5 linked regions of the Oryctolagus cuniculus genome follow. The protein of the gene in region 1 interacts with the protein of each later gene in a pairwise test. Links are inferred from orthologs where the notes say so. Each region holds a gene or a part of one and is shown in the gene's direction. Other genes may lie near its edges. The genes, in order: EEF1G, KLHL18, ECH1, GET4 and ILF2.

Region 1 (4,056 bases):
TGACCTTCATCGTGTCTGCCTCCCAAGCTGACCAGACTCTCACTGTGACCCCTCTCCGGGATTCCCAGGGCCTGTTCCCTGACCTCTATCACTTCTTACAAGTTTTCCTCCCTCAAGCACTGCGAAATCTCCTCAAGTGAACATGGGCCATAGAGGGCAATAAAGCTGCTAGTTTAATACAAATACTCTCCAGTTTTCTCTGATTTTCTCCCGGTACTTTCCGCCTCCTTCTTGGGCTCTCCCACACCTTAATACAGCCCTCTCAGATCTGCCTTGTCTGACCCCGATCACCCTGGTCTTCCCACTTAGCACTGCCTGCAGGCACCTGGCAGAGTTCCCGAATGACCGTGCTTGCGGGCTTTGCAGCAAGTCTGCCTCCAGTGAGGCTGCTGCCCCGGGTTTACACGTGGTGTCAAAGCCGGAGATGTGGGTTCAGACCTCTTCCATTCTCGTTCTTCAACTGAGTAATAGATTTTCACACCGGAACATGGGTAAAAAGCAACCCAGCAGAATGCAGGCTCCGAAGCGGGTGGCAGGGCCCATGGCTGGGTTCTCCTGCGCCCCTGAACTGCTGCGGGTCAGAGGTCTGGTGTCCTTGTCGCAGTACCAGCATGCGGAGTTGCAAACTAGTGTCATGTGAGCGAACCTCACTCGGGCAGATGGTTTCAGACCCGAGCCCCTGTTACGTGTACATTCCTCTCTCAAGTCCAGAGCGGGAACAAAAGGAACCTCGCCAGCTCCCGCCTCCGCGCAGCTCTGGCTTCTCGGCCCCGTGAGCTTCGCGGGCGATGCGAGGGGCTGGCAGAACCTACCGTCAGGCCGCTTGCCGCAGGAAGGCGGGAGGGGTGCGCCTGCGGGAGCCGGCGCCGCACTGGGTGGGCCGCTGTGCCACGTAGCCGCGAAGGGGCGGCCCTGCTAGCCGGTTCTCACAGTTTCCCCGCCCCCGCCTCCCCCCCCCCGCCTTCTACCTCCACCTCGGGGCTCTGATTGGTCGGTTGCAGCAGAAGGGCCGGCCAGTCACAAGCCCAGCGCGCCGGCTGCGCGGCCCCTCAGGCCCCACCCCCTCCAACGCGGCTGGATACCGAACTGTCGTGCGTGTGCCTTCTATGCCGTCCTCGCTTTCCGGCTGCTGTTTCTCCACGGCTCTCCCCTTACCCCCTCCCTTTTCTCCCTGGCGGCTTACTTTGCGGCAGCGCTGAGAGCCCAACCCCCTTTCTCTGCGGAATCACCATGGCGGCCGGGGTAAGTTTGCCGGGTCTAGTGAGCCGGGTCACCTTATCCGCCGCCATCCTCTGTCTGAGTAGGGCCAGTCGGCGCCGGAGGCGTTCTGGAGCTGAGTGGGGGACCGATCCGGAGTTTACAGACCGTACTGTAGGAGAACGGAGGTCCTAGGGCCCGGAAGGGAACTGAGGCTGGGGCTCTCCGAGGCCAGAGGTGGAAGAGTCTGGGGTAGAGGAGCAATGAGATGCTGGATCTGGGCCGTCTGGAGCCTGACAGGGGGTTCAGCTTCATTGCTTCGTTGAGACGCGGGATCCGGGCAGGTTGGCGGAACTTTCGCGGCCGTTTTGTGGGGCAGCAGCGGGGGCAGAGCGAAGAGGAGGGTCTTTGTGGAGAGGCTCGGCTGGCATGGTTAGGGGTTGCCGCTCAGGGAGGCTTGGGGGAGCGAGGCATCTCTGGACGGTGAGGCCAGACCGGGTGGATGGATCCCTCTGGCCGGGCTCTCCGAGATGGCAGAAGCTGGGAACTCGCTGCGGGACGGGACGGGACGGGAGGGAAGGCGTGCGCGACTCGGCAAGAAAGGCTTTTTAGGGCAAGGAGTCGATTTAGGAAGAGGGCATGCTATTGGTTGTCTCGATGGCTATCCTGAGGGGAACTTGAAACGTCCGGATGTGTGTGCCTTGCAGAGGAGGTTGGTGGCTCTGAGGCAGTGATGAGCTCAGCGGTGGAGTAGGCAGGCACTGGGGAACCGTCAATGAATGAAACGCAGCCCCCGGGAAGGCAGGGGTGTAGGTTTGTAGGCAGACGGAGTCTCAGGGAGGCAGTGCTGGGCTTCTTGGAGATAAATATGAGGGGAAGGAGAATGAGTGCTTCCCGAGATGTCCTTAGGGAAGGTCAGTTTGTCCCCGAGCTTTATTTAGCCGCTGATGCGTAGTTCTGTGCTTGGTGCTTCGGAGGACTCTGATTACATGTGGCAAGCACTAGGGAACCTGGTTTCCCCGAGGGAGTAAAAGTGAGCGGAACCGATTGTGATGGCTGAGGAAAGCCATGCTGGCATATGGCGCGCAGGCTGGGACCCCTCCTCACATTAATCTTTTCCCCTTTTCTTACATAGACCCTGTACACATACCCTGAAAACTGGAGGGCCTTTAAGGCCCTCATCGCTGCTCAGTACAGCGGGGCTCAGGTCCGCGTGCTCTCCGCACCCCCCCACTTCCACTTCGGCCAGACCAACCGAACCCCTGAATTTCTCCGCAAATTCCCTGCTGGCAAGGTGAGTAAGGAAGTGGTGAGGGGCTTTTGGACCTGGGACCCTTAGGAGCCCTGATTCCGTCACTCTGGGGATGGGCCTTATCTTTAAAAGACAGCTTCTCATGTTATTTTCTTTCACATTTCAGTGGTTAAGAACACTTTCTTAGATAATTGTAGTTGTGAAAAATAATAGCTCCTCAGTGACTTTATAAAACTGACAGGCATGCTTTATATTTCTGAGAAAGAGAATGAGTTTTGGCCAACTATTTCAGTGTGAGTATATAGATTATATATTGTGAGCAAGGTTTTTAATCCAAGGGGCTTACAGAGATAGGGAAATTACTTCACTAAGAGTGGAGGGATCAGGTGTATATGCGTAGGCCAGATACAGTGAGTGATACAGCAAACATGTATAACTTCGTTTCTAGCCCCTTCGTATTTGAAGACTTCTATACAAATACCTTATAATAACCAAATATTTTGGGTTTCTTAGTTTAGACATGGCAAATTCAGATTACAGGGGATACCAAGTTATCAAAGTCTGTTTGTTAGACGGTATTAAGAGTTTGGATTACAAGAATTGTCAGCCTTATGTAGACAGTTTTGTCCAAAGCAGTTCAGTTCCTGGGATTCGCTAATGAAATGTACTTTATGTTTTCACTGTTTTGCCCCCAGGTTCCAGCATTTGAAGGTGATGATGGATTCTGTGTGTTTGAGAGCAACGCCATTGCCTACTATGGTAATTTACAGGCACTTATGGGAATGGGAGGGTGTGGAGGTGAGGGTGTAGGAGAGGATGCGGGTGAGCTGGAGTGGACAAGGAAGAATTCTTGGGAACCTAGACTTATGTTGGCATGATCCCAAAGTTCTGCTCTTTGTGTTCTGCCTCTGCAGTGAGCAATGAGGAGCTGCGGGGAAGTACTCCAGAGGCAGCCGCCCAGGTGGTGCAGTGGGTGAGCTTTGCCGATAGTGACATAGTGCCCCCAGCCAGCACTTGGGTGTTCCCCACCTTGGGCATCATGCATCACAACAAGCAGGTGAGCCTCGGAACTTGGGGAGAAGCAGGAGCAGGGTTGGCATCAGCTTCTGCATGCTGGGGAGTAAGAAATACAATAGGCTGAGAAAGCAAAGTACCACAGATGTGTGGGCAATGAGGAAACGTAGGCTTTGGAGTATACATGTGGGACAGTGGGTGCTGTCTGGCTTTTTTTTTTTTTTTTTTTTTTTTGTCAGTGGAAGTGTTATCTGTCATAAGAGATCAGAGGAGAGATTTCTGTTGTAGGAAGTTTACCAAGTTGTAGAAGAGTTAAACCAGATGACGTCCAAGATTCCATCTACTTATCCAAAGATAAATGAGTACCATCATTACTGTGGAAATGAAGCCAGACTGCCATAAAGAAATTTAACCATGGAGAGCTTTGTGATTTGGAATCATCTTAGAATCTGACTCCATTGAAAGAGGGCTGGTCTGGGTGAGCCAGACTCAATTCAGTGAAGCAGCTTTTTTTAGTTCTGTGGAGGGTTGAGGGAAGGGAATTGCTTCCCACTGAGAAGTTTGATGATTTCAAATCAATAGGCCACTGAGAA
Region 2 (3,536 bases), on another chromosome or scaffold:
AGGCCACCTCCGTGGAACTTTATTGCTCTGGGCTACTCCAGTCCACACTGATCAACACTTTCCCTTTTCTCTACACACTTGTCTTACCACTTAATTGATGTTTAATCTGTCTCTTTTTTTCAAGTTTTGTTTTATTTGTTTGAAAGAATTACAATGAAAGAAGGAGAAACAGGGAGAGATCTTCCATCTGCTGGTTCAATGCCCAAATGTCCACAACACTTGGGGCTAGGCCAAGTCGAAACCAGGAGCTTGGAATTCCATCCAGGTCTCCCGTGTGGGTGACAGGAGCCCAGACACTGCAGCCATCTTCCACTGTTGTCCCAGGCGCATTAAAAGGGAGCTAGATCAGAAGTGTAACAGCCAGGACTCAAAGCAGACTAAATGTTTTCACCAGTCCCCTGGGTCTTTACTACTCTGGGAACTTGGCTTTGTGAGTGGCAGGGAGTTGATCTTGTCTCATTTACATTGAAGGCAGTTATCTCCCTGGGCAGGCTGGAGAAAACCCAGCCTCTGAGCCCCAGCTGTGCATTTGTGCAGTTATGATAGTGACCCACACTTCTTGCAGGGCATGGAGAGGGTTGAAAATAGTAAGTGTAGTGGTAGCTAATAAGTAGAGTACCAAAAGAAAATAAAGAAAACTGAATACGTATGAGCAGAAAAAAATAATTTCAATATTAAGAATCTTGAGAACTTACTGCTCTTGAAGTACTTATGATTAAAAACCATGTATCCATTTGAAACGAATGAAGTATACAATTTTGTGAAGTTCCTGTTACAAAATTTTAAAAAATCTATTAAGTGTAAAGCACCTGACATGCATCACCCACTTAGACAAATTAGGCATCAGACAAGGCCATGTGTGTAATGAAAACACATCTGTTATTTTGAGTGGGAAGAATCTGAGGTAACACAGTGAACATATACTGAGGGCCTCTTATATTCCAGACACTACACTAATTACTGTCAAGGTCACACATATGAAGACCTTCCCTGTCTTGTTTAGAGGTGGCAGACCGAGCCCTAGTATTCCATAGTGTCAGAACATAAGTGTCTTGGGGGCAAAAGCTTGGGCTTACTCACCACTCTAAACCCAGTGCCTGAGACAGTGTGCCCTGTGAGTGACTGATAAAAATATGATGGATGAATAAATGAATGATTGCAACAAGTGATGAAATAAAGAAAGAAGCAGCTGTGGGAATGTGGGGTTGGAAGAGAGTAAGTCTTGTTTGAGGGGTCTCAGGTAGCTTTTAAGGAGGGAGAGGCAAGAGGAATTTGACCTGGGCAGTAAAGGTAAATGAGACCATCAGCATGGCAGGTTGGAAGGGAGCATTTCAGGCAGAAAAAGGCATTGATAGGTTAACTTCTTGTGGACATAAGAGGCAGCACTGGGAGTCTGAGGCCCATCTGGAATGACAGCTCTGTCTGTTTCAGTGCCATGGGGACAGTCGTGCTGGACGGGCAGATCTACGTGTGTGGGGGCTACGATGGAAACTCTTCCCTCAACTCTGTGGAGACCTACTCGCCTGAGACGGATAAGTAAGGGTTCTGGCTCCTCTGGGGCAACTGGAGCTTACTGAGCAGAGTGTGTGAAAAAACTTGGGACCACAGACTTCTTGACTGTAGACAAATCTTAACCTATAATGTCTTGTGTGTGATAGGCTGTGCTACACATCCTTGGTTAAATGAACGAATTGTTGAATAATTTTTTCAAACGATCTATACAGATACTTGGAAGCATTTGTTTGGTGGTCTGTACCTCTTAATCAGTCAGCCTATTTTAATGGAAATGCAAGTGAAAGAGAATAGGAAGTAGACCAGCAACATGTTCCAAAGTGAGCAGGATATGATTTGGAAAAAAAGAAAGACGTTATATGATCAGATAAGCTTGGGAAATGTTGATGTCTGTACCACCAGAGTCCTTGTCTTTCCATAATCCCTGTTAACATTTTAAAGGCTCTGAAAACTTCTAGAGTGAAGTTTAACCTTGTGTTTTATATAATACCTAGCAACATCTTGAGGTTATTTTGTGAAACAGTCTTTGGAAAACACAAGATTAGCCTGAACACTCTCATATTGTGTAACAAAATATAAGCAAATGGGTTGAGTGGACTCATCAGGATGCTTTTGAGCTAGTATACTGTCACTTCACGAACTTACTAGATGTCAGGCCATAAGCTGGCTATGAGATCCTTAAAGTAATACTCAGTATTTCATAATGAATGCGTTGTCATCCTACCCGGGAGGCTTGTGTCTGGTGCTCTTGGGCAGAGATTGGGGAGCACCTTCCTCCTCCCTGGGGCTGGGAGGAGAGGCAGAGTGGCCGGGATGTCTTCCAAGGTGAGACCTATCATGGGTAGACAGTGGGAGAGGCTGCTCATCATGAGCAGGGAGCCAGCACTTTCTTCGGTAAGAAAGTGTTCACAGTGGCGAGGACAGCAGTTAGCCTCCAGTGGGCTGGAACATACAGTGTGGCAAGGGGTGGCTCTGCAAAGTGGGTGAGGACAAAGTGGTAAAAAACACATTAAGGAACTTGGAAACTGCCTTAGACGAGGGCTGTGGTACAGCCACTGGCTACATGGGTTGGAATGGGAAGTGGTCTGAAAGCCAGGCCGCTGGTAAGGAGGCTGTTCCTATAGTCGGGGTGAGAGGCCAGAGCTATGGCAAAAGGATGGAGATGGGAACAAGCAGCAACCAGAAAACAAACCAGCCAGGACTTGGGGACCACAAGAATGTTAAGGGTGAGGGAGAAGCAGCCCCCCAAATTCTGACTTTTATTAAGTGCAGCAAGGAGATAGCTGGTGGTCCCATTAACAGGATGAGGGAGTAGACATGAGAGGAGCAGATATGTGGGAGAAAGAGGCCTGGTTTGATACATGCTGGGTTGGAGTGCACATGGAAAAGAGCAGAGAAGATGGGCTGTGTGTCTGCACTTGGATGAGAGGCAGCAACAGAAGTGATGGGAAAGCTGGTAAAATGTGGGGAGATTATCCACGGTCCACCCAAGCCCTGGTAAGTTGTCTTAGGAGACCAGCTCTCATGTCTTCTCTTTATTTTGACTCTTTTTTAAAGGTGGACAGTGGTGACCCCGATGAGCTCGAATCGCAGTGCCGCTGGGGTTACGGTCTTTGAGGGCAGGATATATGTGTCGGGCGGCCATGATGGTTTGCAGATCTTCAACAGTGTGAGTCGGGCTCCTCTTGGGCTAAGGGCACCTACTCCTTCCATGTTGAGTTATTTTGGAGGCAGGTGCTGTGGTGTAGTAGGTTATAGCCTCCGCCTGCAGCGCCAGCATCTGTATGGGCACTGGTTCGAGTCCCAGCTGCTCCACTTCTGATCCAGCTCTCTGCTAATGGCCTGGGAAAGCAGTGGAAGATGGCCCAAGTGCTTGGGTCCCCTACCCCCATGTAGGAGACCCAAAAGAAACTCCTGGCTCCTGGCTTCAGATCAGCCTTCCTCCAGCTGTTGCAGTCACTTGGGGAGAGAACCAGCACATGAAAGAACTCTGTCTCTCCCTCCCTCTCTAACTCTGCTCACAA
Region 3 (3,536 bases), on another chromosome or scaffold:
AGTGACAGAGATTCAAATCCCCTTCCCCACTGGTTCACTCTCCAAACGCCCGCAACAGCCAGGAGCCCAGAACTCCATCCTGGTCTCCCGCATGGGTGGCAGGGACCCAAAGCACTATGGCCGTTCCCTGCTGCCTCCCAGGGTGCGCATTAGCAGGGAGCCGGATCGGAAGCAGATGAGCCTGGACTGACCCCACGCTCCAATATGGGCTGCAGGTGTCAGAAGCTCGACCAGTGTGCCTGACACCGGCCCCACATTGTCTTCATTGTTTGTCTTATCTGAGAGCAGGGGCTGTCACTGTTTGCTTTCTGAGCAGCCACTGTGTCCCGGGCCTGGGCCCAGGCACTGGGGAGAGAGCAGTGGACAGACACACACAGGCCCCTGCGTCTTGGAGCTCACATCCCAGAAAGAGAAGCAGGTGCTCAACCAGACCAGCACAGCGTCCGTGACAGCGAGATGTGCGGCAGGGCAGAACCAGCAGATGGATGGAGGGGCCCCGGCCGGCCGCCATGCGGCAGAGCCACGGTGTCTCATAGTTGGAACGGTTGGAGGCCGGCCGGAAGTGATGGCTGCGCAGCCTGGGAGGTCCCAGCATGAACTTGGCATTTTATTCTGTTCTCTACTGGGCTGTGCACAGGTTCCCCCGGCTGTGTGTGGGGAGCGGGCAGGAGCAGGGGGAGGGGCACGGAGGTTGGCTGGGGTCGGAAAGGTCAGGTTCAGGATTATCTTGAAGTTGGAGGCACGAACTCTGCACCCCCTGCTCTTCGCGTCTCAGGAAACATCGCCACCAAGGAGCTCGTGCCTGTGGCTCCTTAGGCCGACAGGTGTGAGGGGGAGCACAGCCCCTGGAGTCAGCCGCGTGGTCCCGTGGTCTGAAACCTCAGTGCTGCCAGGCACTTAACCTCTCTGTGCCGTTAACCCATCGGGAAGGGGTTGGCCTTGTGGCACAGTGGGTTAGCCGCCTCCTGTAGTGCCGACATCCCACACGAGCCCTGGTCCGAGTCCCGGCTGCTCCACTTCTGATCCAGCTCCCTGCAGAGGAAGATGGCGCATGCGCTTGGGCTCCTGCCACCCTTGGTGAGGGGACCCAGATGGAGTGGTGGCCACTGGGGGATGAACCAGTGGATGGAAGATCTCTCTCTCTCTCTCCCTCTCCCTCTCCCCCTCTTTCTCTCTCTTTCTTTCCCATGAATAAATAAATGTTTTTAGGAAAATCAGTGCGGCAGCAGTAGCGACAGGACCAGGGCACAGCTTGCTGGGGCATGAGCGAGAGCCGGGTGCTGGCTCCCCTGTTTCAGGCCTGCTCCTGCTCGCAGCCCCTCGCGCGTGCTCTCTGGTGGCTGGGGGACTTTGGGCCTGCTGCGCCTGGCTTTGGGCTGCCAGCTGGGGCAATGGGTGGGGTCTATGAGGCTAGGTGAGCCCCCTGCCACCCCCTCACCAGGCATCGACCTCATGGACGTGGGTTCCGACCTCCTGCAGCCGCAAGGAGACGACCCGGCCCGCATCAGCTGGTACCTCCGTGACCTCATCCGCAGGTACCAGGAGACCTTCAGCGTCATCGAGAAGGTGACTCTGGGGCACCACGGGCCATCCCTGCCACCTGCCTCTCCGCCGCCAGCCCTGACCCCGCCCCTCCTGTTCCCTTCCAGTGCCCCAAGCCCGTGATCGCCGCCATCCACGGGGGCTGCATTGGCGGGGGTGAGTCTGCAGCCGCCTGCCTCCCACCAGGGTGCGCCTGCTGGGGTAGGGGTGGGGGGCTGCCCCTCCCTGGCCGCGAGCCTCCAGCCTCAGCTCTGTGGCTGTCTCGAGACGCAACCCCACCTCCCAGGAGGAGGGGCTTAGTGCTTGTGGTTGCTCAGTGTCCCCGGCTTCTGCCTGCCAGGTGTGGACCTAGTCACCGCCTGTGACATCCGGTACTGTGCCCAGGATGCTTTCTTCCAGGTGAAGGTAAGGTGCCCCCCCCAGCTCCTTCCCCGGGTGCTGCTGGCAGTTGGGCAGTGAGCGATCGGCCTGGGCAGAGCAGGGACAGTGCCAGCCGCCGGGGGGCAGGGGGGCTGGGGGAGTCAGAATTGAATTTTTCCAAGGAAGCCTCAGCCGGCCGTGGAGGAAGACAAGGGCAAGGGGTCCAGGTGAAGTCATAGTGGGGAAGGGTGTGGCCAAGGGGGCAGGGGATGGTGGGGAGGTGGGTGGCAGAATGGAGCTCCCAGCGCAGTGAAGGCGTTGGCAGGGACGGCCAAGGAGGCTTCCCTCCGGAGATGCAGGGCTCAGGCCCCCCCTCCCAGGAAGGGACCTGCACAACCCACTGCTGTCTGGGCCAGCCTGGTGCAGGCGCCCGACGGCTCTGCCGCCCTTGCCCCCGCAGGAGGTGGACATAGGCTTGGCTGCTGATGTGGGGACGCTGCAGCGGCTGCCCAAGGTCATCGGAAACCAGAGGTCGGCAGGATACGGCCGGGGAGGGAGCCGCAAGGCAAGGGGTCTCCAGGCCCCGGGGTGAGGGCCGTCTGCTCACGCGCCCTGGCCTCTTGCAGCCTGGTCAACGAGCTGGCCTTCACCGCGCGCAAGATGATGGCTGACGAGGCCCTGAGCAGCGGGCTGGTCAGGTAGGGTCAGCGCCACCTGGGCGCGCTCCCCGCTCCCCGGGTCCGTGTGACCTCCCTGAGTGCTCATTGCTTTCTTGGGGACGGGGTGGGGGGTGGGGGGTGGCTCTTGCCCGGCTGCCCTCGGGCCGGGTCACTGGGGTCTCCTGCCGGCCGCGGGAGTGGCGTGGAGCCCTGCTCAGCCCTCCTGACCGCCGCTCCCTTCCGTGGCAGCCGTGTGTTCCCGGACAAGGAGGTCATGCTGGACGCGGCCTTCGCCCTGGCGGCCGAGATTTCCAGCAAGAGCCCGGTGGCCGTGCAGAGCAGCAAGATCAACCTGGTCTACTCCCGGGACCACACCGTGGCCGAGAGCCTCAATTACATGGTAAGGCGCTCGCTCCTGCCACTCACAAGCCGCCCGGCCCGCAGAGCGCCCCCTGAGGGCCGCGCGGCTGGCTCTCTGCGCGCGCCTGCGCCTCTGATTGGGCCGCTGCTGATCCTCCAGGCGACCTGGAACATGAGCATGCTCCAGACCCAGGACATCATGAAGTCCGTCCAGGCCGCGATGGAGAAGAAGGACCTCAAAACCGTCGCCTTCTCCAAGCTCTGAGGGCCTCGCCCTGTGCCTCCCCGCGCAAGGCTCCCCTCCGCTGGGGTGGGGGACGCGCGGGCCGGGGCGCCTTCCCGCACCTCCCAGGCCGTAGCTGTAAGGTGCTGGCCTCCTCATCCTGGTGATCAATAAAGCCTTGTGAAGAGCCGGTGCCCTGAGCGGGGCGGGGGAGGGGGGGAGGGAGGGGGAGGGGCGGGACCGAAGTCCCGAGAGTCCTCACCCTGCGGCTCAGCCTAGCTGCTCCGGTGCCGCCGCAGTCCGGAAGGGCTCCCCTGCGACCCAGTCTGGAGCCGCTGGCCTCTTTCCTGCAAGTGTTGAGTTTGCGTGTCCATGTATGGTCCCAACCTCCC
Region 4 (4,103 bases), on another chromosome or scaffold:
CGCTGCCGGTTCTGCACGCGCAGACCGGAGCGCGTTCAGGGCTGGCGCTGCGCGGCGACACAGCTCACACGTGCACCAGGATCTCCTACGTGAGACTCGGTCCGGAGCGGGTGGACATATTTTGCATATTTATTTTTGAAGATAGGACTTTGTGCAATGTATTTTTGTAAATGCTTTTCAGAATACGTCTTTGGTAATGCTTCTTACGCGGACACCAGTTGATAAGATGCTACTGAAATGTTTAAATAAATAAAGAGTTTTAATTTTTACAGTGCATGTGGTGTTTAAACCAGCAAGCCGTGCGCTCTCCTCGGGTTGTCTGCGCCTTTGCATTTACAGGCAGAACTGGAGGCGCAGACGGAGGCACAGAGCTCCTCTGCCCGCCCGCCTGCTGCCCCGCTGGCCACCCCGCCATCGGCGGGCGGCCCGGGGAGGGGAGTGACCGTGACGTGGCCACGCCTGCGGCTCAGCCCACGCGGGCGCCGGCTCGAGACCCCGCGGCTCCGCGTCCCGGGCCGTGAGCGGGAGCGGGGCCGGAAGCGGAGCCGGGGCTCGAACCCACGCGCTGCAGGCGGCGGCTTCACCCGCCAGACACGAGTCGCCCCCTCGGCCTGAGCGGTGCCCCCATCATGGTCGGCCGTGCGTTCGTCGCCGGCTCGGTTTCCACGAGGGGCCGGGGCACCCGCGGACGCGGGTCCCTCGCGCTCTGGGGCGGCCCCGTAGGCGCGGGCCCCTCGCGCTCTCCCGGCGGCCCCGTGGACGCGGGTCCCTCGCGCTCTCCGGGCGGCCCCGTAGACGCGGGCCCCTCGCGCTCTCCGGCGGCCCCGTGGGCGCGGACCCCTCGCGTTCTCCCGCGGCCCCGTGGACGCGGGCCCCTCGCGCTCTGGGGCGGCCCCGTGGGCGCGGGCCCCTCGCGCTCTCCGGGCGGCCCCGTGGACGCGGGCCCCTCGCGCTCTGGGGCGGCCCCGTGGGCGCGGGCCCCTCGCGCTCTGGGGCGGCCCCGTGGGCGCGGGCCCCTCGCGCTCTGGGGCGGCCCCGTTGGCGCGGGCCCCTCGCGCTCTCCCGCGGCCCCGTGGACGCGGGCCCCTCGCGCTCTCCGGGCGGCCCCGTGGGCGCGGGCCCCTCGCGCTCTCGGGGCGGCCAGCGTCCAGGGCCGCGTCAGCCATTGTGCTGCGAGCGCGCGCCCGGCCCGCGTCAGGTGGTAGCCCGCGGCTCCGCCCCCGGGCCACGTGCCCCTCGCCACAGGCGGCCCGGCTGCTGAGTCACGTGTGCCCACCGCGCAGCGCCCCGCGCCTGCGTGCGGCTCCTCGCGGCCACCGTAGAGGGCGTGGCGCGGCCGCGGGACGGAAGCCGGGAGGGAGTCGCCGCCGACCGCCCCTGCGACAGCGACAGCGTCAGCCCTGCGCGGAGCGCCGGCCCGATGGCGGCGGCGATGGCCGAGCAGGAGAGCGCCCGCAACGGCGCGCGCAACCGCGGCGGCGTCCAGCGCGTGGAGGGCAAGCTGCGCGCCAGCGTGGAGAAGGGCGACTACTACGAGGCGCACCAGATGTACCGGACGCTCTTCTTCAGGTAGCCGCGGCGCGGCGCGTCCGCCCGGCCCGGCCCGCCCCCGCCCGCCTCCTATTGGTCGCGCCGCGCCAGCCCGCGCCCCCATTGGTCCGCGCGGCTGCCTGTCGGAGGCCGAGGCCGGCCGGGCGCGGGGGGCTGGGGCGGCGGGCGGGGGGCTGCGGGCGGCCGGCCCGGCTTGACCCGGCCTGACCCGGCCCGGCGCGGCCGCGGCCTCCCCTCCGCGAGCTGCGAGCCGGCTGGGGCGTCCCCGCGGGCGGCACGGCCGTCGGGCGCCCTGACCGTGGGGCGACCCCTCGGCGCGGCCTGCGGCCCGGCCCGCCCCCGGCGCCGGCGTGGCCGCCATGCGAGCCCGCGGCTCAGGCCCGGCCCGGCGCCCGCTGTTTCGTGAGGCTGAGTTTCGGGGCAGGTTCGGTTCTCGGTAACTCGCGTGGGACGTGCGTGCCAGCCCTGGGGCCCGTGGTGAGAGTCGCTGGGCTTCGCGGGGCGCGGGGGCGCAGGGTCTGAGGCCCCGGCCGGGGGACACCGGGCAGAGGACGGGCGTGGGGCCAGCACCCCCGTCCCGGGCAGAGGACGGGCGTGGGGCCAGCACCCCCGTCCCGGGCAGAGGACCGAGCGTTGGGCCAGCACCCCCGTCCCGGGCAGAGGACCGAGCGTTGGGCCAGCACCCCCATCCCGGGCAGAGGACCGAGCGTGGGCCCAGCACCCCCGTCCCGGGAAGAGGACCGAGCGTGGGGCCAGCACCCCCGTCCCGGGAAGAGGACCGAGCACGGGGCCAGCACCGCCGTCCTGGGAAGAGGACCGAGCACGGGGCCAGCACCGCCATCCCGGACAGAGGACCGAGCGTGGCCAGCACCGCCGTCCCGGGAAGAGGACCGAGCACGGGGCCAGCACCGCCATCCCGGGCAGAGGACCGAGCGTGGCCAGCACCGCCCGTCCCGGGCAGAGGACCGAGCGTGGGGCCAGCACTCCCGTCCCAGGAAGAGGACTGAGCACGGGGCCAGCACTCCCATCCTGGGCAGAGGACTGAGCGTGGGGCTAGCACCCCTGTCCCGGGCAGAGGACTGAGTGTGGGGCCAGCACCGCCGTCCCGGGAAGAGGACCGAGCGTGGGGCTAGCACCCCTGTCCCGGGCAGAGGACTGAGCGTGGGCCCAGCACCCCTGTCCCGGGAAGAGGACCGAGCGTGGGGCTAGCACCCCTGTCCCGGGCAGAGGACTGAGCGTGGGCCCAGCACCCCTGTCCCGGGAAGAGGACCGAGCGAGGCCAGCACCGCCCTGCCTTGGCGTCTGTTGCCTCCACAGCCCTGCTGTGCCCCGGGTAGGGAGTGTGTGTGGAGTCCCGGGCTCCTGGCCGAGGAGGAGGTGTGAGTCGCTCTCCTAAGTGACCTGAGACAGGTCTGGTTCCGGAACCTTCTGTGCAGTGACGCCCGGCAGTCAGGCTGCGAGGAGATGGGTTCAGGAGGAGGTTTGAGGTCGTGCAGCCTTCACCCCGGGGTGGTCATGTCCATGCCCGTGGGCTGCTCTGGGCGCGCTGGCTCCCCGCGGCTGCCGTGGGCTGCTCTGGGCGCGCTGGCTCCCCGCGGCTGCCGTGGGCTGCTCTGGGCGCGCTGCCTCCCCGCGGCTGCCGTGGGCTGCTCTGGGCGCGCTGCCTCCCCGCGGCTGCCGTGGGCTGCTCTGGGCGCGCTGCCTCCCCGCGGCTGCCGTGGGCTGCTCTGGGCGCGCTGGCTCCCCCGCGGCTGCCGTGGGCTGCTCTGGGCGCGCTGGCTCCCCGCGGGCTGCATCGCTCCTCGGGGAGCAGTGGTGTGGGGTGTGTGCGCACCGTCCCGTCTGGACCTGCGCCCCCGAGATGAGACGGGTGCTGGTCTTGGGGACCGGGATGTAGGTGTTTGCATGGTGACTGATCACGAGTGTCTCTTCCTGGAAACACACTGCCTCGCGTGGGCCAGGTCCGCAGGGCTTGGTTGTTAACCCTTAAAGCTGGTTCACTCCCAAGGCAGAGCTGGGCCAGGCTGAAGCCAGGAGCCTGGCCCTCCGTCTGGGTCTCCACGTGGGTGCAGGGACACGGCACTGGGCCGCCGTCCACGGCTTTCTCAGGCCGTGAGCCGGGAGCTGGGGAGAGCTGGGGCAGCCGGAACTCCAGGCGGCACCGCGGGCCTGGCCCTGGTGTGACCCTCAGTGGACGAGTGCGTCCATGGAGGCTGCGTTTCTGCCAGACCCCCCACTGGGGCCCGGGACGCAGCACACGCGTCCCCAGGTGCACTCTGGGAGTGCGGCCTCTCGGAAGTGGGAGTCCCCGAGTTAGCTGGGGTTCTGATGTGTGTCATGCGTTTGCATATTGCCAGGCAACCAGTCACGTGGGCCGGGCCCGCCCCCCAGTGGCTGCCGTCAGCCCTTCTGGGTTGATGGGCTTCTAGAACCCCGCGCAGTGCAGTCACGGTGGGGGCGCCTGTTTGGATTCTGAATGCGCTGAGCGGGGTGGGGGTCCCTGCGGGTGTCTTAGTCCGCTTTGTTGCTGACGGGGTCTTCGCCTGCTCAGT
Region 5 (4,014 bases), on another chromosome or scaffold:
GCTTCACTTGCCAGATGCACAGTATTTGCATTTAAATCGATGCCATCACTTGGGCTTTTTGTAACCTTTCCACGCCTCAGCGTTGGTTAATGTTGTTAATGTCCCCTCTCGCTCACTGCAAGTTCCTTCACTCTGCTTTGCCCTGGCCGGGAAAGCAGCCGCTCTGGTTCCTCTGATCAGGGTGCATCGTATGTATTCTCTTTTCGTCTGGCTTCTTTCGCTTGACACGGTCCGGGTTCCTCCATGTTTTTGCACTCGTCAGCGATCTGCTCTTGTTAGATTTTCGTAGCACTCCGTTGTGTACACATAGACCAATTTGTCATCCACTCTCCATGAATTCAGTACGGCCAACTCGCCGAGACACGTGTAAATACCTCTAGGTTGTTTCCAGTTCGGGCCTCACTTTTCTGGGGACCACCACAAGGGGCTGCAGGCCCCCCCCCCCCCCCCCCCCCAGTGAGTGAGAGGGGACGCCGAGGAGGAACAAACGTTAAGGAAATGCAAATACCGTGTGTCCGTGTGGCCGGTGAGGGTGAGGCGGGATCATGCCAGGATTTGCAGGAGCAAAAAACAGGAACAGGAGAAGACGGGACCCGCCACTTTCTTGACTCTCCTTCTCTGATTTGTCATTCCAAGACTTTGTCAATTTTCCTTCTAACACCTCAAAGCTTGTTTCTCCACCACAGTCCATACACTCCTTCCCTTCTAGGGAAGGTACCTTTTACACGATGGCGGTAGAGGCAGAAGATGCGTTTCAAAAGCAGCAAAGATTGGCGAGATGGTTTTAAAGGAGGGAGTACTGTAGCAGCATGTGGAACTGAGAAGCGAAAAACAAAGCCCTTAGCAGAGGATGGTTTCGATCCATCGACCTCTGGGTTATGGGCCCAGCACGCTTCCGCTGCGCCACTCTGCTACTGGACACCAACCTTCCCGCTATTATAAAAGGCAATTCACTTGTTCGTCGTTTTTAAAGTCTATCCAGCGCCACCTAGTGTTGGCTCAAAAAATTTGTAATTACTGTCACGCCTGTTCTTATTGGCCGGTTCCTGGCACGATAGCCGTTTTTTATTGGTCCATAAGCCCGGTTCTCCAAAGCAAACCAATAAGCATAAGCGACAGAGCAAGGCGGGAGCCAATCGCAGCGCGTTTTGTTGGGACACGCCGGCCAGACGCCTTTCCAGTTGTCTGCTTCTCTGAGGAAAGGGGCGGTTGGTGCGGCCTCCATTGTTCGGTGTTAAGGGCGCCATGAGGTAGGGGGACCGAGGTGCTGGAAAGATTGTGGGTATCCGACCGAGAATGTTGGGAAGGTGGGTCGAGAGGAGTCGGAGGACCGGGCAGGGCCGCGCCTCTGCGGCCGGCCGGAACCCCGCGAACTCCGGGGCCGGCAGCGCGGGGAGCCCGGCGGGTGGAGGTGGGAGCGCGGGCCCGGCGTGGGCTGGGGCCGGGGCGGGGAGGCGGCGGGCGCCCGCCTCCGCGAGGGCGTCGTGCTCAGGCCGCCGGGGGAGCTTCCCCGCGTGCGGCGCTGGTCCTGACGGCCCGCGTGTGACGCCCGGCATGTGCCCGGCCGGGGCGCTGAGCGCCGGCTTTGGGGGCTGGCGTGCCCCCGGGTTATAGGGTCTTTCTCGCAGGGGCGCTGCGCGACGCTGTTACCTGGCGGATAAGTCGTCCGGCAGCAGGAGGTCACGAGCAGTGGGGGGCCGGGCGCCATTCGGGACGCGGGGTGGGAGGGGGCGGCGGCGGGCGGCCGGCGGGAAGCGAGGCCGGGCCGCGGCGGCTCCCAGGCAGTAACGTCTGTGCATTTCCAGGGGTGACAGAGGCCGTGGTCGCGGTGGGCGCTTCGGCTCCAGAGGCGGCCCGGGCGGAGGGTGAGTGCCAGTTTTCCTTGCTAGTTTGGGGCACCTAAGAGGAGGTTGGCGGGGTCTGAGGGTGTTTTTGTGCGAGCCGGCTGCGGGGTCACACCCTGCTTCTGCTGCGGGCCTTGCTCAGAAGCCCACTCGGCCCTCCGCAAGCTGTGCGTCTGTGTTTTCCAAATTGCTGGTGCATCGTGTACATCTTGCTTGATTGCTGTGTGCTGAATAATTTGAGCTGTTTGTCTTGTTGCAGGTTCAGGCCCTTTGTGCCGCATATCCCATTTGATTTCTATTTGGTAAGTGCTTTGGGTTGGTGAACGGGTCCTGACCCCTGGTCACCAGCAGATGGAGAAGTGGTGGAGGCCAACAGCCCCCTGACATGGTGGTCGCAGTAGGAGAAGGGATTTGGGAACGGCCTTGGGGTTGTGTGTTAGCATACTTGGCAATAACCTGATTATAATCTTTGAACAACTCATTGCATCTCTGGCTTATTTGTTAATATAAAGGTAGTAAGAACATAAATTATGGCTGTTCTTCTGGGTCCTTGTTGGAAGGTTTTTTCAAAAGATTTATTTATTTGAAAAGCACAGTGTCAGAGAAATAAATATCTTGCATCCACTGTTTCATTCATCAAATGGCCACGATAGCCAGGGCTGGGTCAGGCTGGAGCCAAGAGCCAGGAATTGCATCCTGGTCTCTCACATGGGTGACAAGGGCCCAGGAACTTGGGACATCATCCACTGCGTTCCCAAGATCATTAGCAGGCAGCTGGATTGGAAGTGGAGCAGCCGGGACTCTGTTATCAGAAGCCAGTGGCAGCTTAACCCACTGCACCGCAAGTGTTGCAGAATTTTCTGTGTTCAAGTTTTTCTGTTGCACTAATAGAGGAATAAAACCAGTCTCTCCTGTATGTTGTTGGTGGTCAATGGTTTATACTTGTTTGTTGGTGATTTAGTGTGAAATGGCTTTCCCCCGGGTCAAGCCGGCCCCTGATGAGACTTCCTTCAGTGAAGCTTTGCTGAAGAGGAATCAGGACCTTGCTCCCAATTCTGCCGAACAGGTGTGTGCTCGTGGCTCCCTTTCTGAGCTTTCTCCACAGAAGGGAAGTGGAGAGTAAGAATAGGTTCCCTGAGCCTGAGGCCCACCAAAGCTTGCATTCTTGTCTCACTGTGGTTGGAGATGGGGAGCGAGGTGAGCGTCTTAAACACATGGCATAGACATTTGTATTTTCACTGGGGAATCTGTCTGTGGCAAGTTCAAGACCAGAAGCACTGAGTTGTTTTTAGAACCTTCTGTTGATGGCTGGCAGCTTCCACAGAAGGGATCAGGAGAAAATATCCAAACTCAGAGCAATTGCTTACAACTTTTCATTTTGGGATTTTACTGTTTTTCAGGCTTCTATCCTTTCTCTGGTGACAAAAATAAACAATGTGATTGACAATTTGATTGTGGCTCCGGGGACATTTGAAGTGGTGAGTTTCTGATGACAGCCCCAGGAAAGGGCGGCCTTGGTGATGTGCAGATTTCCTTGGCTCCTGTCTCTTAGTTTTTCAGTTGCCTGAACCTGGACAGTACAGTGGGATTCCTTTCTTTGTTAATACTGATCCTGGGGATACGGTTTGTGTTGATACCAGCCGGCCATGACGGGCCAGGCTTTCATGTGGTTTCTTGGGGTAGGATTTTACCTTTGCTACTTCCAAGTCTGAGTAATAGGAAGCTGTTACCTATCACAGAGTTCTGAGAGCATCGAGGCATCTGAAATTTTTTTTCCTGAAATCTCTTTCCCAACAGCAAATTGAAGAAGTCCGGCAGGTAGGATCTTACAAAAAGGGAACAATGACTACAGGACACAATGTGGCTGACCTGGTGGTGATACTCAAGATCCTGCCGACGTGTGAGTGTCTGTCTTGTGACAGTGGGAACGGAATGTGGCAGGTTCTATGGCTTGAGGCCTAGGCTCTTTAAAGCTCAGCTTTCTTGTGAGAAAAGATTCTTTTTACAACATGACAAAGGAGAAACTGGAGTGAGTGAAAGAATGTATGGCCGGTTCTATAAGGCAGTATTTCTCAACTGGAGGCAGCCTGGGGAGGGGAGGCAAAAGAATGAGCCCATCCAGAATGTTATCTTTGCCCCCGATCTGAAAACCCAGTCCATAAAATAGAAG

Evidence for each region.
Region 2: the proteins of EEF1G (region 1) and KLHL18 interact in binary tests that used the Homo sapiens proteins (3 or more experiments, as listed by UniProt). The two-hybrid records come from large-scale screens. The link is inferred for Oryctolagus cuniculus from reciprocal best matches to the Homo sapiens genes EEF1G and KLHL18.
Region 3: the proteins of EEF1G (region 1) and ECH1 interact in a two-hybrid assay, tested with the Homo sapiens proteins (2 studies listed by BioGRID and IntAct). The link is inferred for Oryctolagus cuniculus from reciprocal best matches to the Homo sapiens genes EEF1G and ECH1.
Region 4: the proteins of EEF1G (region 1) and GET4 interact in a two-hybrid assay, tested with the Homo sapiens proteins (2 studies listed by BioGRID and IntAct, with this or other methods). The link is inferred for Oryctolagus cuniculus from reciprocal best matches to the Homo sapiens genes EEF1G and GET4.
Region 5: the proteins of EEF1G (region 1) and ILF2 interact in a two-hybrid assay, tested with the Homo sapiens proteins (2 studies listed by BioGRID and IntAct). The two-hybrid records come from large-scale screens. The link is inferred for Oryctolagus cuniculus from reciprocal best matches to the Homo sapiens genes EEF1G and ILF2.

The regions. Positions count from the first base shown.
Region 1 is NC_091432.1:8,978,017-8,982,072, forward strand, and holds the start of EEF1G (elongation factor 1-gamma), read left to right. Parts: upstream 1-1,220; 5' UTR 1,221-1,230; coding exon 1,231-1,242; intron 1,243-1,889; exon of another isoform or gene 1,890-2,096; coding exon of another isoform or gene 2,097-2,111; intron 2,112-2,332; coding exon 2,333-2,491; intron 2,492-3,144; coding exon 3,145-3,208; intron 3,209-3,363; coding exon 3,364-3,506; intron 3,507-4,045; coding exon 4,046-4,056. Other genes in the region: TUT1 (speckle targeted PIP5K1A-regulated poly(A) polymerase), read left to right, coding at 1-140. UniProt on the Homo sapiens protein: Probably plays a role in anchoring the complex to other cellular components.
Region 2 is NC_091441.1:101,515,374-101,518,909, reverse strand, and holds part of KLHL18 (kelch-like protein 18), read left to right. Parts: intron 1-1,431; coding exon 1,432-1,536; intron 1,537-3,069; coding exon 3,070-3,181; intron 3,182-3,536. UniProt on the Homo sapiens protein: Substrate-specific adapter of a BCR (BTB-CUL3-RBX1) E3 ubiquitin-protein ligase complex required for mitotic progression and cytokinesis.
Region 3 is NC_091449.1:15,916,405-15,919,940, forward strand, and holds the end of ECH1 (delta(3,5)-Delta(2,4)-dienoyl-CoA isomerase, mitochondrial), read left to right. Parts: intron 1-1,441; coding exon 1,442-1,566; intron 1,567-1,649; coding exon 1,650-1,698; intron 1,699-1,882; coding exon 1,883-1,947; intron 1,948-2,362; coding exon 2,363-2,433; intron 2,434-2,528; coding exon 2,529-2,600; intron 2,601-2,810; coding exon 2,811-2,961; intron 2,962-3,081; coding exon 3,082-3,186; 3' UTR 3,187-3,331; downstream 3,332-3,536. UniProt on the Homo sapiens protein: Isomerization of 3-trans,5-cis-dienoyl-CoA to 2-trans,4-trans-dienoyl-CoA.
Region 4 is NC_091450.1:36,346,609-36,350,711, forward strand, and holds the start of GET4 (Golgi to ER traffic protein 4 homolog), read left to right. Parts: upstream 1-1,275; 5' UTR 1,276-1,420; coding exon 1,421-1,569; intron 1,570-2,904; exon of another isoform or gene 2,905-3,015; coding exon of another isoform or gene 3,016-3,038; intron 3,039-4,103. UniProt on the Homo sapiens protein: As part of a cytosolic protein quality control complex, the BAG6/BAT3 complex, maintains misfolded and hydrophobic patches-containing proteins in a soluble state and participates in their proper delivery to the endoplasmic reticulum or alternatively can promote their sorting to the proteasome where they undergo degradation.
Region 5 is NC_091438.1:44,651,044-44,655,057, forward strand, and holds the start of ILF2 (interleukin enhancer-binding factor 2), read left to right. Parts: upstream 1-1,178; 5' UTR 1,179-1,245; coding exon 1,246-1,250; exon of another isoform or gene 1,251-1,296; coding exon of another isoform or gene 1,297-1,307; intron 1,308-1,628; coding exon 1,629-1,679; intron 1,680-1,805; coding exon 1,806-1,865; intron 1,866-2,103; coding exon 2,104-2,146; intron 2,147-2,805; coding exon 2,806-2,910; intron 2,911-3,244; coding exon 3,245-3,322; intron 3,323-3,641; coding exon 3,642-3,744; intron 3,745-4,014. UniProt on the Homo sapiens protein: Chromatin-interacting protein that forms a stable heterodimer with interleukin enhancer-binding factor 3/ILF3 and plays a role in several biological processes including transcription, innate immunity or cell growth.